Lepisosteus oculatus: one gene and its partners. The protein of the gene in region 1 purifies or fractionates together with the protein of each later gene. This does not show direct contact. Links are inferred from orthologs where the notes say so. Each region holds a gene or a part of one and is shown on either strand. Other genes may lie near its edges. The genes, in order: fbl, snu13b and rrp9.

The links.
Region 2: the proteins of fbl (region 1) and snu13b purify together in Homo sapiens (affinity purification with mass spectrometry; 5 studies listed by BioGRID and IntAct, with this or other methods). This does not show direct contact. The link is inferred for Lepisosteus oculatus from reciprocal best matches to the Homo sapiens genes FBL and SNU13.
Region 3: the proteins of fbl (region 1) and rrp9 purify together in Homo sapiens (affinity purification with mass spectrometry; 3 studies listed by BioGRID and IntAct, counting the BioPlex papers as one, with this or other methods). This does not show direct contact. The link is inferred for Lepisosteus oculatus from reciprocal best matches to the Homo sapiens genes FBL and RRP9.

The regions. Positions count from the first base shown.
Region 1 is NC_090722.1:9,619,241-9,622,992, forward strand, and holds the start of fbl (rRNA 2'-O-methyltransferase fibrillarin), read left to right. Parts: upstream 1-1,417; 5' UTR 1,418-1,574; coding exon 1,575-1,584; intron 1,585-3,749; coding exon 3,750-3,752.
Region 2 is NC_090714.1:16,498,002-16,501,753, reverse strand, and holds snu13b (NHP2-like protein 1), read left to right. Parts: upstream 1-1,283; 5' UTR 1,284-1,476; coding exon 1,477-1,479; intron 1,480-2,200; coding exon 2,201-2,321; intron 2,322-2,857; coding exon 2,858-3,120; 3' UTR 3,121-3,379; downstream 3,380-3,752. Other genes in the region: cytochrome b-c1 complex subunit 2, mitochondrial, read right to left, coding at 443-475.
Region 3 is NC_090699.1:53,426,119-53,429,870, forward strand, and holds the start of rrp9 (U3 small nucleolar RNA-interacting protein 2), read left to right. Parts: upstream 1-839; 5' UTR 840-1,020; coding exon 1,021-1,101; intron 1,102-2,161; coding exon 2,162-2,250; intron 2,251-3,752. UniProt on the Homo sapiens protein: Component of a nucleolar small nuclear ribonucleoprotein particle (snoRNP) thought to participate in the processing and modification of pre-ribosomal RNA (pre-rRNA).

The DNA of each region.
Region 1 (3,752 bases):
ACTCCTGGCTCTGCAATCGGCCATGCCGCGCCCTGAGCAGGAAAGCCGCTGTGCGGGGACTGAGCGCGGAAGAGCCTGTTCCTGGAATCCGCCCTCCGGTGACCAACGATCCGGCCTTCGTCTGCGATCGTCTGAACCCCGGAGACGGGCCTGGACTGCAGGATCGAGCGGGCCTGTTTTAGGAGGCCCTGAGAAGGATGGTTTCATGTTAAGCAGACGGTGCAGCTTCGTGTTTGTACTGGACAGGGCTAAATATCTGTCACCTCTTTAGCAGAATCTACTCTTTGTGCCACTAAACCTACAGTAATCTCAATCCATGATGGGGCTTCAGCAAACAAAACTTATTTCTGCTGTGCCATATTACATTGTCATAAAGCAGTGTCTTTTCTAACAGATTCATGGAGCATATTATTATTATTATTATTATTATTATTATTATTATTGTAGTGCTGTGTTTTAAGTGTTATCCAACAAAGCTCAAGCACAATTCTATTAATCAGGTCTGTAAATAAAAGTATTATTGCTGAAAATGGGTTCCTCCGTGCTGCGATCACCTTGTTCTGGCTGCCTTGATGAAGCTCGGTGTCCCTCACTGCCCTCGTTCGTATCACTGCTTTAATGTGTTTAATGTTCTTCGAGAGAACTTTGAAATATCAGTCTAGTCGAACTGTAAAAATAAACAGTTCTGAGCCACCCTCCCCCCCCGTCCACTAGAGGGCGACCCAACTGCATTTCAAAACACCTAAAACATCATAGGAGAATACTTTTATAATCACATCGCCATCATAAAGAAACTGATAACGATACACAAGAAGTAACCATTTCGAAACTGTAAAAAAGGAGTATAGCATTTAACAATTCATAAACCTATCCCACTGAACAAGATCCTGTTCAGTTAACACTTAGGACTCACTGAGCTTGCGCAGATCTTTGAGGCGGCACAGTAATTTAACAGCACAAAGTCTCATTTGAAATCCATGGTGGAGCTTTTTTAAAAGGTAAAGCGTACTAGGCTTACGTGTAAGCTTCAACTAGAGTAAGACTGAATAAGTTCCGGCCACAATAAGATGTTTTAAGTGCACGGAACAAAAAAAGTTGAAGATGGTTTCAATGGGTTTCAAGTACAGGTTTCGAAGACAAAAAATTCCGAAAAATAACAAGTAATAGGTTTATTCCATGCTGAAAAAAAGAAGAAAGAGAACACAACGTTTCGGCCGTGGAGCCTTCTTCAGGTGTCGTATTTCCAGTTGTATTTCCAAATATACCAAAATACCAAAAGCTGTATTTCCAGTTCCCGAAACACAGCTTTGTGGGGGACCCGAGGTGGAGAGCGGCCTGCAGTGTGTGTCCTCCGAGGTAGGGGGCGCTGTGGGCGACGCCGGCGAGAGGAAGCGCTCGGACGCGCGGGCTTGGAACTTCCGCCGCCGGCCCATGTGGTGCGGACGCAGCACGTGTGAGCAGGAGAGAGAGAGACAGCGAGCGCCCGAGTGCGGAGGACGGAGAGCGGAGCGGCGACACAACTCATCCGATTTCTGCGCCCAGGTCGTTGCAGCGATACATCCCGAGACGCGAACATGAAGCCAGGTAAGCAGATCCGCGATCCTCTGACGCGTTAAAAGGGGGAAAAAAAAAACGACCCGGGAGGTAAAAACACGGAGCTCCGCCGCTCCTGTCCTCCGAGTCTCACCGGGGCCGGAGACAAATCACCCTCCGAAAACAAAACGTGATAATAAAAGGCAAAAATGCCTTCAAGCGCCGTAAAGACCACCCGCTCCGAGTTTGGTGTCTGCCTTGTTCGGAGGCTCCTATTTTCTTAAGTCGCATTTCGAAGTTAAAGCCAGCTGGTTCGTGCAGAAGAGGAGAGTTTCTCGGTGGCGGACGGGGGGTCGTGGCCTGCGCACGCCGGAGGTTTAGGATCTGTTTTAGGCTCATTTTAGTAACTTCCAGACGATTACTTGACGCGGCGTGCACGATTTAGACGGAATTTCAACAGTTCCCCGCTGTTCCTGTTGCCGTGAGCAGCTGGGACGCTAGTTAATGTGTTTGTATTGGGCGCAGCGTGCTGGACTAGTTCGTCGCTCAGTTTGGATCCAGCGTTAACTGATGTTTTGGCTTGGATTGCTGTCGGCCCTGTAGCTCTCTCCTGCTCGTGATTTGAGTTCTGGCGTGAATTTCGGAAGGAAGCGGGTGTCTTTTGGCGTTAAGCGAAGCCAAATGCCAAAAAAACAACAACAACAACAACACAACGATTGCGATGGCCGTTTTCGTGCGAGGGGATCGTTTTCAGTGCCGCGGCCATGTGCTTGGTGTGGGGAGACGTGGGGTCCTTGTGAGAGCGCACAGACCGATTCCTTGCATGCTCGAACTTTTAGAAAAACGTCCGATTTAAACGTGCGCTTCCTAGCGATGTTCCAAAGTCTGTAAAACGAAAAGCGTCTTCTAGCGCTAATTGTGATCGATTACGGATCGGAGAGGATCTCCCGGGCTCGGGTCAGTGTCTCGCAGTTGAAAAGTAAGTAAGGGAAGTAAGAGGAGCCCCTTTAGTCCGTCAGCTTAACAGCTAATTGAACCCAGGACCTTCTTCAGCTGCTTTTAATCGGCTTCAGCGACGTGGCTCGGCGGCTTGTTCCACACCCCTACCTCCCTCCGTGTAAAGAAAAGCGTCCGGTTCTCGCTTTTTAAATGCCCTTTCATGTCGGGTTCATTGGCCCCACGTGGTACATGTTTCGCAGCTGCTGACGGTGATGTTGACACTGGCGTGTCTGTCGAGGGCGAGGCGCACGTGTGCCGGTTTAGTCGGGGTGTTTTACCGCTTCGGTCGGGGTGCCGCACCCGCACAGGACAGCAGCTGCACTGTCTCTACCTGGGACTCGGACCCGCAGCCTGTGCGAGTCAGCCGATGAGTCCGGTGGCCTGGCCGCTGCCCGTTTTAAACTATTGGAACTCGCGCTTTGCAGACCGTTACAGTGTCCAGTCAAGGAGCGTGTCGGCGGTCTGGTCCTGTGTCTAGAAGACAAGTTAGTGAGACAGGAGAAGCTGCCGTCCTGCAGTGTGGTTTGTGGGGGGGTGGGGGAGGACTTGTGCAGCTGCACACTTTGGTGTTGCAGTGCTTCCCTACATCGCTCCCAGGGGTGTCCAGCCCTGGTCCCGGGCAGCTGGAGTGTCTGAGGGTGTTCTTCCCCACTGAGCTCTTGAGGAGCTGAGCCGGCTGAGTGCTGATTTAACTGGGCCAATTGCACAGCCTCTCCTGGCTCTCCAGTCGATACTGCCTTTAAGAGACCTGGAGGGCCAGTCAGTGTGTCTGCAGGCCCTCTAGGAGCAGGACTGGACAGCCCTGCGGACGCACTGACCGGCTCCTCCAGGAGCAGGACTGGACAGCCCTGCGGACGCACTGACCGGCTCTCCGGGAGCAGGACTGGACAGCCCTGCAGACACACTGACCGGCTCTCCAGGAGCAGGACTGGACAGCCCTGCAGACACACTGACCGGCTCTCCAGGAGCAGGACTGGACAGCCCTGCAGACACACTGACCGGCTCTCCAGGAGCAGGACTGGACAGCCCTGCAGACACACTGACCGGCTCTCCAGGAGCAGGACTGGACAGCCCTGCGGACGCACTGACCGGCCCTGCACACGCACTGACTGGACAGCCCTGCGGACGCACTTGGACAGGCCCTGCGCTGTGTGGTTCTCTCGGGCGGCTCTACGATGGGGCGAGTAACCCCCTCTCCTGTGGTTCTCTCCCGGCAGGCT
Region 2 (3,752 bases), on another chromosome or scaffold:
GGAGACCATCCACGTTACAGCGAGACCTCAGGTGGAGATACGAGTCAGATGGCTAAAACGGGAATACATAAATGACCTTCACTACAGCTTTCTTAGAGAATCCACAAACCAGTACTTCCGACACTCCAGCCCACCGTATCCCTTCAAGGCAAACCGCTTCTTGTGAACATGTACGATTTGGCAACGCAATTTTAAACAACTCTGTTTAGTTAGCCTGGGTCATGATGGAATACATTTCTTAAATACTTTTTTAATTTCATTTACAGCTAATGACACCTCTCTGAGGTGCTGTACTCCGTGCAATGTCGCTCAACACAGGCCGGGTTTCAACGACACAGCTAGTTTTCTTCCGCCACAAATCAAGCTGATTCTCAGGACAGATGCAATGGACCCAAACAATTTCATTTAAATCGGCAATTGTCGGACATAAGCAGACTCTTACTGAAATGTGATTTAGACACCGAATCCCCTTCATGACTGACTGTCTCTCCTTCAGCCGCTGCAAGAACACAATATGGCCGCCGGACGTCCTACCCAGGCGCCACCGCGCTCCTTTTAGCCAATCAGAAGACAGATAGCGTGGCACGGTATCACTGCGGGGCTTAATGTACGGCTCTGAAACTGGGCTCCGTATCCCGCCATCCTGGCTCGACCGACCCAGCTTGTCCGCTTTTCTGTCGCTCGTCTTGTCTGTATTAAATCACAATGATGATCAGTTTCCTAAAGTCTTCTTCGAAATGTTCAGTCGATATTCACTTTAAACAATGTCTTATGTGTTTGCCCGGGGAATGGTGGGATAGATTGAGTTACGAAGCGCATAGTTTCCTCATCAATTCAATTCAACATGCTTTATTGACATGACCGATGAGTAGAATGATAGTGTTCATCTCTGTGCACTAACTGTCCCGATGCAACTGCACTCAACAAAACAGCAAGACTTAAATGTATATACCTCTCTAGCACATGATGATGTGATTTCTAAAACTTCTGATGCATTTTAAAGCAATGTTTTTTCCATATAATATATTAGTTTCAACTGTGTCTACCCGAGGTAGTCTTATTCGGACGTTTTCCGTGCATACTTTCAATACTGTAAAACAAATAATTTAAAATGTGACTCCATACATCTTAAGCAAAAAGAATTCGATTATTCATTTCTTGGTCCCAATAGATATTTTCATTACAATAGCAGAACCAACGTCAATGCGCTCATGTTTCCTCGCCGTTCCTTTTCAAGGGTACGCAGAAATCTCCTGGCGTACTTCCGCTTCCGAGTGTATTAATGTGCGCGCACATGTCTCTCCTGTGGCATTGTGGGGGTCAATAAACGCTGGCGGGACGTTGACGGGCTGCTTAGTGCTGTTGTGACCACCACCGAAAAACAACATATTTGTGAAAGGTCCTCTGTGAAGCACACGCCGAGAGGACACAAGAATTAACCCAGATTGTCCGTTTGTCTGATCTCCTGCTGTAGCGATGGTAAGCAAGCGACCCGGGCGGTTAATTATGATCCCTCCCGGCGCGGAGAGGCGGCCGACAACCAGACTCCCAGCCCGTCTCTCGCACGGCGTGTAGCCGTGGCTCTCTCTTGGCCGAGCCCTTCCGGACTCCGGTCCACCCTGCTCGTCCACCGCCTCGGATCGGGCCTGCGTGGCCGTGAACCGTGGGGCAGCCGGGGACGGGAGAGGTGGCGTGTTTGTGCGGGCTGCTGGAGCTCCGAACCACGTGTCTCGGTGCTGACTGGATGGTCGTGCTTGAATTGTCGGCTAAGTACAGGCGATGCTTTTTTTTGTGTGCTAACGAATGGCTTGGTTTTTCACAGCGCACTAAAATCGGACTGGTGGGGTTGTATGCGGTGGATCTTGGTTTATAGCGCTCTCCATCACGTGCCTTTTAAAGGCGTTTTGAAATAGGCTGGGGTTTATTACGAATCTTGTTGATTCGAAAAACGAGGGGTGGTTCAGTTTATTAATGCGGTGTTTATTTGTCTCATCACTAATCCAGACTAGGATTGGGTTTACGGTTCTGCAGCGATCTAGTCTACTTTTATGGAATAAGTAAGAGATAGTGAAAGCGTGTGATTATAAGTGTGTGAGAATGTTGTCCCAGTAGTGTTCATTAGTGTTGGACAGGATGAGCCGTGAGTGCACGAGGAGAATTCTTAATCGAGGGTTCTGACACCCGCTTCCTGTCTCCTCAGACTGACCCGGAAGTGAACCCCAAGGCCTACCCCCTGGCTGATGCCACACTGACTAAAACCATCCTGGACCTGGTGCAGCAGGCAGCCAACTACAAGCAGCTGAGGAAGGGAGCCAATGAAGGTCAGGAGGCCCGTGCTTTGATCTAGCTTGACTGCTAGATGGTTCTTTGGCTCTCTTTTTTTTTAACTTGCATGAACAGAGGGGAATAAAAGTTTGGTTTAGTACCACAACCACTCTCTTCAGGGGCCTGACTGTGGGTCTTTGAGCTGTGGAAAGTGCATGGCCCTAGCAGGTCAGCTGGTATGATAAAAGTGGAAAATGCATCTCCTTTCATGCATGGTCCACAAAGACAACTGGACAATGTCGGAGAACAGGAATAGACGATAAAACTGCCTGCGTCTGTCTTAAGGACGTATGTTGTTGCTGCGTTCACATAGCCAGCAGCAGCAGCAGTATTTTGAAGCGTCCTTCAAATGAGCCTTTAAATCACATTAAGCACATCCAGACTTTCAGGAGCTCCTGGCATTGTGCATCATAAATTTGATGTTTTTTTTTAACTTCCCACTTCATTATACTGCAAGTGCAAGGAATTGGGTACATTTAAATGAAAACAACCTGTTGTGCTTAAATTTCTGACTTGTTTTTCCCCCCACCAGCCACTAAAACCCTGAACCGCGGCATCGCGGAGTTCATCGTGATGGCCGCCGACGCCGAGCCCCTCGAGATCATCCTCCACCTGCCGCTGCTGTGCGAGGACAAGAACGTGCCCTACGTCTTCGTGCGCTCCAAGCAGGCCCTGGGCCGCGCCTGTGGCGTCTCCCGGCCCGTCATCGCCACCTCCGTCACCATCAAGGAGGGCTCCCAGCTCAAGCCCCAGATCCAGTCTGTGCAGATGGCGATCGAGAGACTCCTGGTCTGAGAGGGCAGAGTAGCACTGTTGATTTACTTTAGCTTGGCCCACAAGACGAGGGTGAGAAACGATGTTCTTGAAAGTATGTATATAGTTGGGGAGGGATGAAGTGAATTATCCTCTGCCCCTGGTTCCCAGAGTGAATGGACTTGGCTGTTGTCCTGTCATTCCAATCTGTTTACAGTATTTGTCAATGGAATAAGTGTAACTTGGGGAAAAAAAAAATTGGATGCTGTTTTTTTTTTAGACTATTAAAAATAAAATTTAAGTTTCAGTGTTGCAGTGAATTTAAAACAAAAATGATCAAGTTTTAGAGGGTATGACATTTCGAGATTCAAACTAAAGATTCAGTAGCAATGCAGCTCTGAAAGGTACCTGATGACCAATGGACCTTCAACTTGGGGGAAAATCTAAAGCCACATCTGGAAGGTAAGTTTGGCAGATGGATTGCAGTGGATTGGGGTATAAGTGAACAATGCCTTTAATGACTGGAATCTGTCCAGTTCCAAAGTGGACCATGCATTTCCTACTAATCTCATCTTGCATCAGGAAGACGAGTCTCGTGTGCCGCTCTGCTGGACTGCTGGCTCCACTCTGTTACACGCAGAGGTGATGAAGGAAGCAGGGGAAAGGGCAGCAAT
Region 3 (3,752 bases), on another chromosome or scaffold:
TCGGGAGTGGCTACGCTTTTGGCTTACTGCCTGTTTTTGTAGCTTCATTAATTTGCATATAATTGCATATAATTGACTGATGTAATGATGTAATGTGTTTCAAAGTCCGAATTTCACAAAGAGCATTTTAACATGTACAAATATTCGCGAGTGTATATTGTTTTACCACTTCTACATTAGTGCTCCTCGAAGTCTACATTTTGAGCAGTTATACTGCAGTAGTAACTACTGTATGTATTTCTGCTGTCTTTTTTACAGTGCCTGAAACACGAAAGTTATCTCTTCGATTTTTTTTTATTTCATTGCAACAGCATTGGGACATTTTCATTCTTTTTAACTATTATAAATGCCCCCACCGCCCCAACTCAAGACCGAAGCTGACAACCCTCTCCTATTCTCAAACCCGAGATCATTGCAAATCCCAACACATTATGCACATCAAACTAGGTTAGGACGAACTCCTATCACGTAGTGTTACTATTTCTATGGACAGTGCTAAAATTTCAGATTTTTTTATGAATAATTCATAACATTGCACAAGGAACGAAATCAGCCTGGAAATCACTTTCGACTACATTTTTATTTGTTGGACATTTTACAATCAAAGAATTCAAAAACATCTATAATGTTTAACAAGTACTGTCCAAGAATTTGCTCGGTATTTCCCGGAACTGTGTTTCTTACTTTTCGTTTCTCACGGTTTCATTATTTCACCGGATGCATTTCCGCCACAACCTACCCTTAAATGTGGTGTAATGTATGCACCAATCGAAATCTGGTAGGTGGGAAAGGGCACGTTGCGATTCAATAGAAAAACGAAGACGGAGTTAAAGTATTTAATATCCAATCAATTACCTGCTTTACTGGAAAGGCGTGGTGAGTGAGGTCCAGTTTGAATGCACGTGGACGGTGCCAATGTGGTTCTAATGTTGATTAACAGACTGAAATATTGAATTCCAACTATTTTACTTGGTTTTTTTTCTTAAAATCGTTAAATAAAGAATCATATTGTCTGGAAGTATGTCTTCCTTCTTCATCAAGAAGAAAGTTAACGCGAAGCCTACTAAAAAAGCGGGCAGTACTAGAGTTATTAAAAGGAAGGTAAGTTTTTTTTGCTACTACTTGAAAATCCCGGTTATGTTTTTATTTAATCTAGATTGCAGATTTTACAGGGTAGTCAAAATAAACAATTTGCTTTTTAAAATCCTATCAAATGAGCACCTTCCAACTATGTGTTATTTCGTTTGGAGTGCACAGGAGGAAAACGAAAAGAAAAACATTAAAATGGATGTATGAATTCTTAAGCGGCGAATGCACTAATATCTTCTAGTTTAGGTATACTTCACTCACTCATTTCAAATCACTGTTGTGCTGTGAAACCGCTATTGCTTGAAGTTAACTGCGAATATCCAGTATAAATGAAGCCAACACAAATTCTTAATAAAAACAGGACGTTTCAGATGCTGACCGAGAGTTATCAGCAATGCGATATATGACCTGCTTGAAACGCATGTTTTGCTCATTGCCTATACATTATTTCAACTGGAAAAAATGTTTCGTTTTTATATAGAAAGGTTCTACAAGGACAGAGGTCTTGAGTCTTCCCATTCCCTCGCCTGTGTTTGCTGATCTCAGAATGTCGTTGCATTGCACAGGGGCAAAATCTATATTGCGACATATGCAATAGCTATGCCTTGGTTTCTATTACTTGATAGAGATGGGTCATTAAACATCTGTGGAATTAGCTCGGACGATTTGTGTCCTGTAGAGCTCACAGACAAGTGAAGAGGCACATTGCATATTCAGACTGTACGAGAGCAATGGGGGCAGCATCTTCGATCTTGTGTCCATGAAACGCAGATGCACAGCTTGTATTCCTTCCGATAGCTGAAGCCCTCCCTATTTTGAGGATTCCTGTTGGTGACAAACGTTGATCGGCATAATGAAGTTACATGTGTCTGTTCAACCAAATTCAAATGACTCTGCTACAGATTACAGTTTTCCTGATGATAACTTTATGAACTTGTTGCTGTTATACGTGGTTTCTTCGGATGCTCAGCAGAGTACGCTTATGTAGTCTGTATGTCATACAGTACGTTACAATGGATGCTTCTAATTCAGTTACTTAAAAAATAGTGTTTTTTGTTTCTCATCCTTTAAGGCTGACGGTGATGGTTTGAGTAAAGGGCGCGCCAAAAAAGTAAATTCTGGAGCTAATGAAGAAATTTCCAGCGAGTCAGAGACAGAAGGGTGAGGTGGATCATTTAAACCTAGAACTATAAGCGGCAGAGTTGGCTTCCAAACAAGTTCTGTCACTTTCAACACAATCACTGTAATCTTTTGTACCTCGAATCAAATTTACTTTGAACATTTACAATGTTCACCACTGATACTAGCCTGATGAAAATGTTGCTGCACCCATAATAAACGGCTTCAGTATCTTCTCCAGAAATACAGACTAAGGTAGAAGGGTCATCTTTTCCAGGCATGTTTTATATACATTCTGAGAAAAGACTTGTGAAAATATCTTGGTATAATATTGTTAGACAAAAGTAAGATTAAAAATAAATTGTCAGCGTGAGTGTTATAATTGGGGATATCAATATTTATCCTTATATAAATAGGTTTTCACCATGGTTATACCCACCTCGGTTAATTATAATTGACTGAAAAAATTGCCACACTGTGAAGATTACGTAATATTTTGATTATCATCAGCACAGCAATTTTGTTATGTAGAAACAAAAGTTTGGGAAATGTGAATCCTATGATGCACGCATGGTGCATAAAAGTTTGGCCATTTTTCAACAAAAGCAGTTAGTTTCCAATTTCCATCCAAGGCTGAACTTTACAAAATGATCAATACAGAAGTGATAACAGAATGACCAGTTAACACAAGTTTGGATTTAATTAGGTTCACAGATTTTTAAACAGAATTCTAAATTTGTGTCAGGTTTTTTGCATCAAATCTAAGATGATGTGTATTTGGATGTTTCTTGTTTTGGCTAAGTTTCAGATCAGTTGATTTACTGGGTCTTATGGAATACTGCTCAGGCTCAGGCCACCTTTTTGTTTTTCCTGCGTTATTATTGCCAAATTATTAACTGGCTAGGATTGTAACTGACAATTCTGAAGTTCACTGGCCTTAGTATTTTTTCACAAGGAAAGCAGACCTGACTACTGAATTCAGAATTGAATTGTCAGTTACCATTGTGCCACATTTTAATTTTATTGTCCCCAGGATTATACTTCTCAAGTTTTGTCTTAACTGCCAAATAAGTTTTTGAACAATAGTAGTTTGACATTTACACAGTGTGTTCTCCAAGGCCTAGCTTTGTAAATCAAGTTTTTCTGAAAACTCAAATCCCAATATGTCAGGGATGATTTCTGTCAAATGTATAATTAAGTAGCTAAATCAGTGTAGAACAGATTACGTCTTGAATATGAGAACAAAAAGGTCTTCATCCAACCATCCTGGATTACTCTGAGAACATTTTGCTTAATTTATTTTAATTGTAGGTGTGCTTGATTGGTAATTATTAAGTGTGGTTATCAGGTCAGTTTTCAGAGAGGAGTGGTTTGCAGTATGGAACATACTTCATCAAGAGTTTGGTGACTCACTGTGAGTGATAAGCAGATTATCACAATATAATTTAAACCAATATAGTTTCAAATATGTCACCGATTTGGGTGTTTATTAAATTTACCACAGTTCAATCAGTGCAGCCGTTCCCAAGACTGAGATTTTGAAA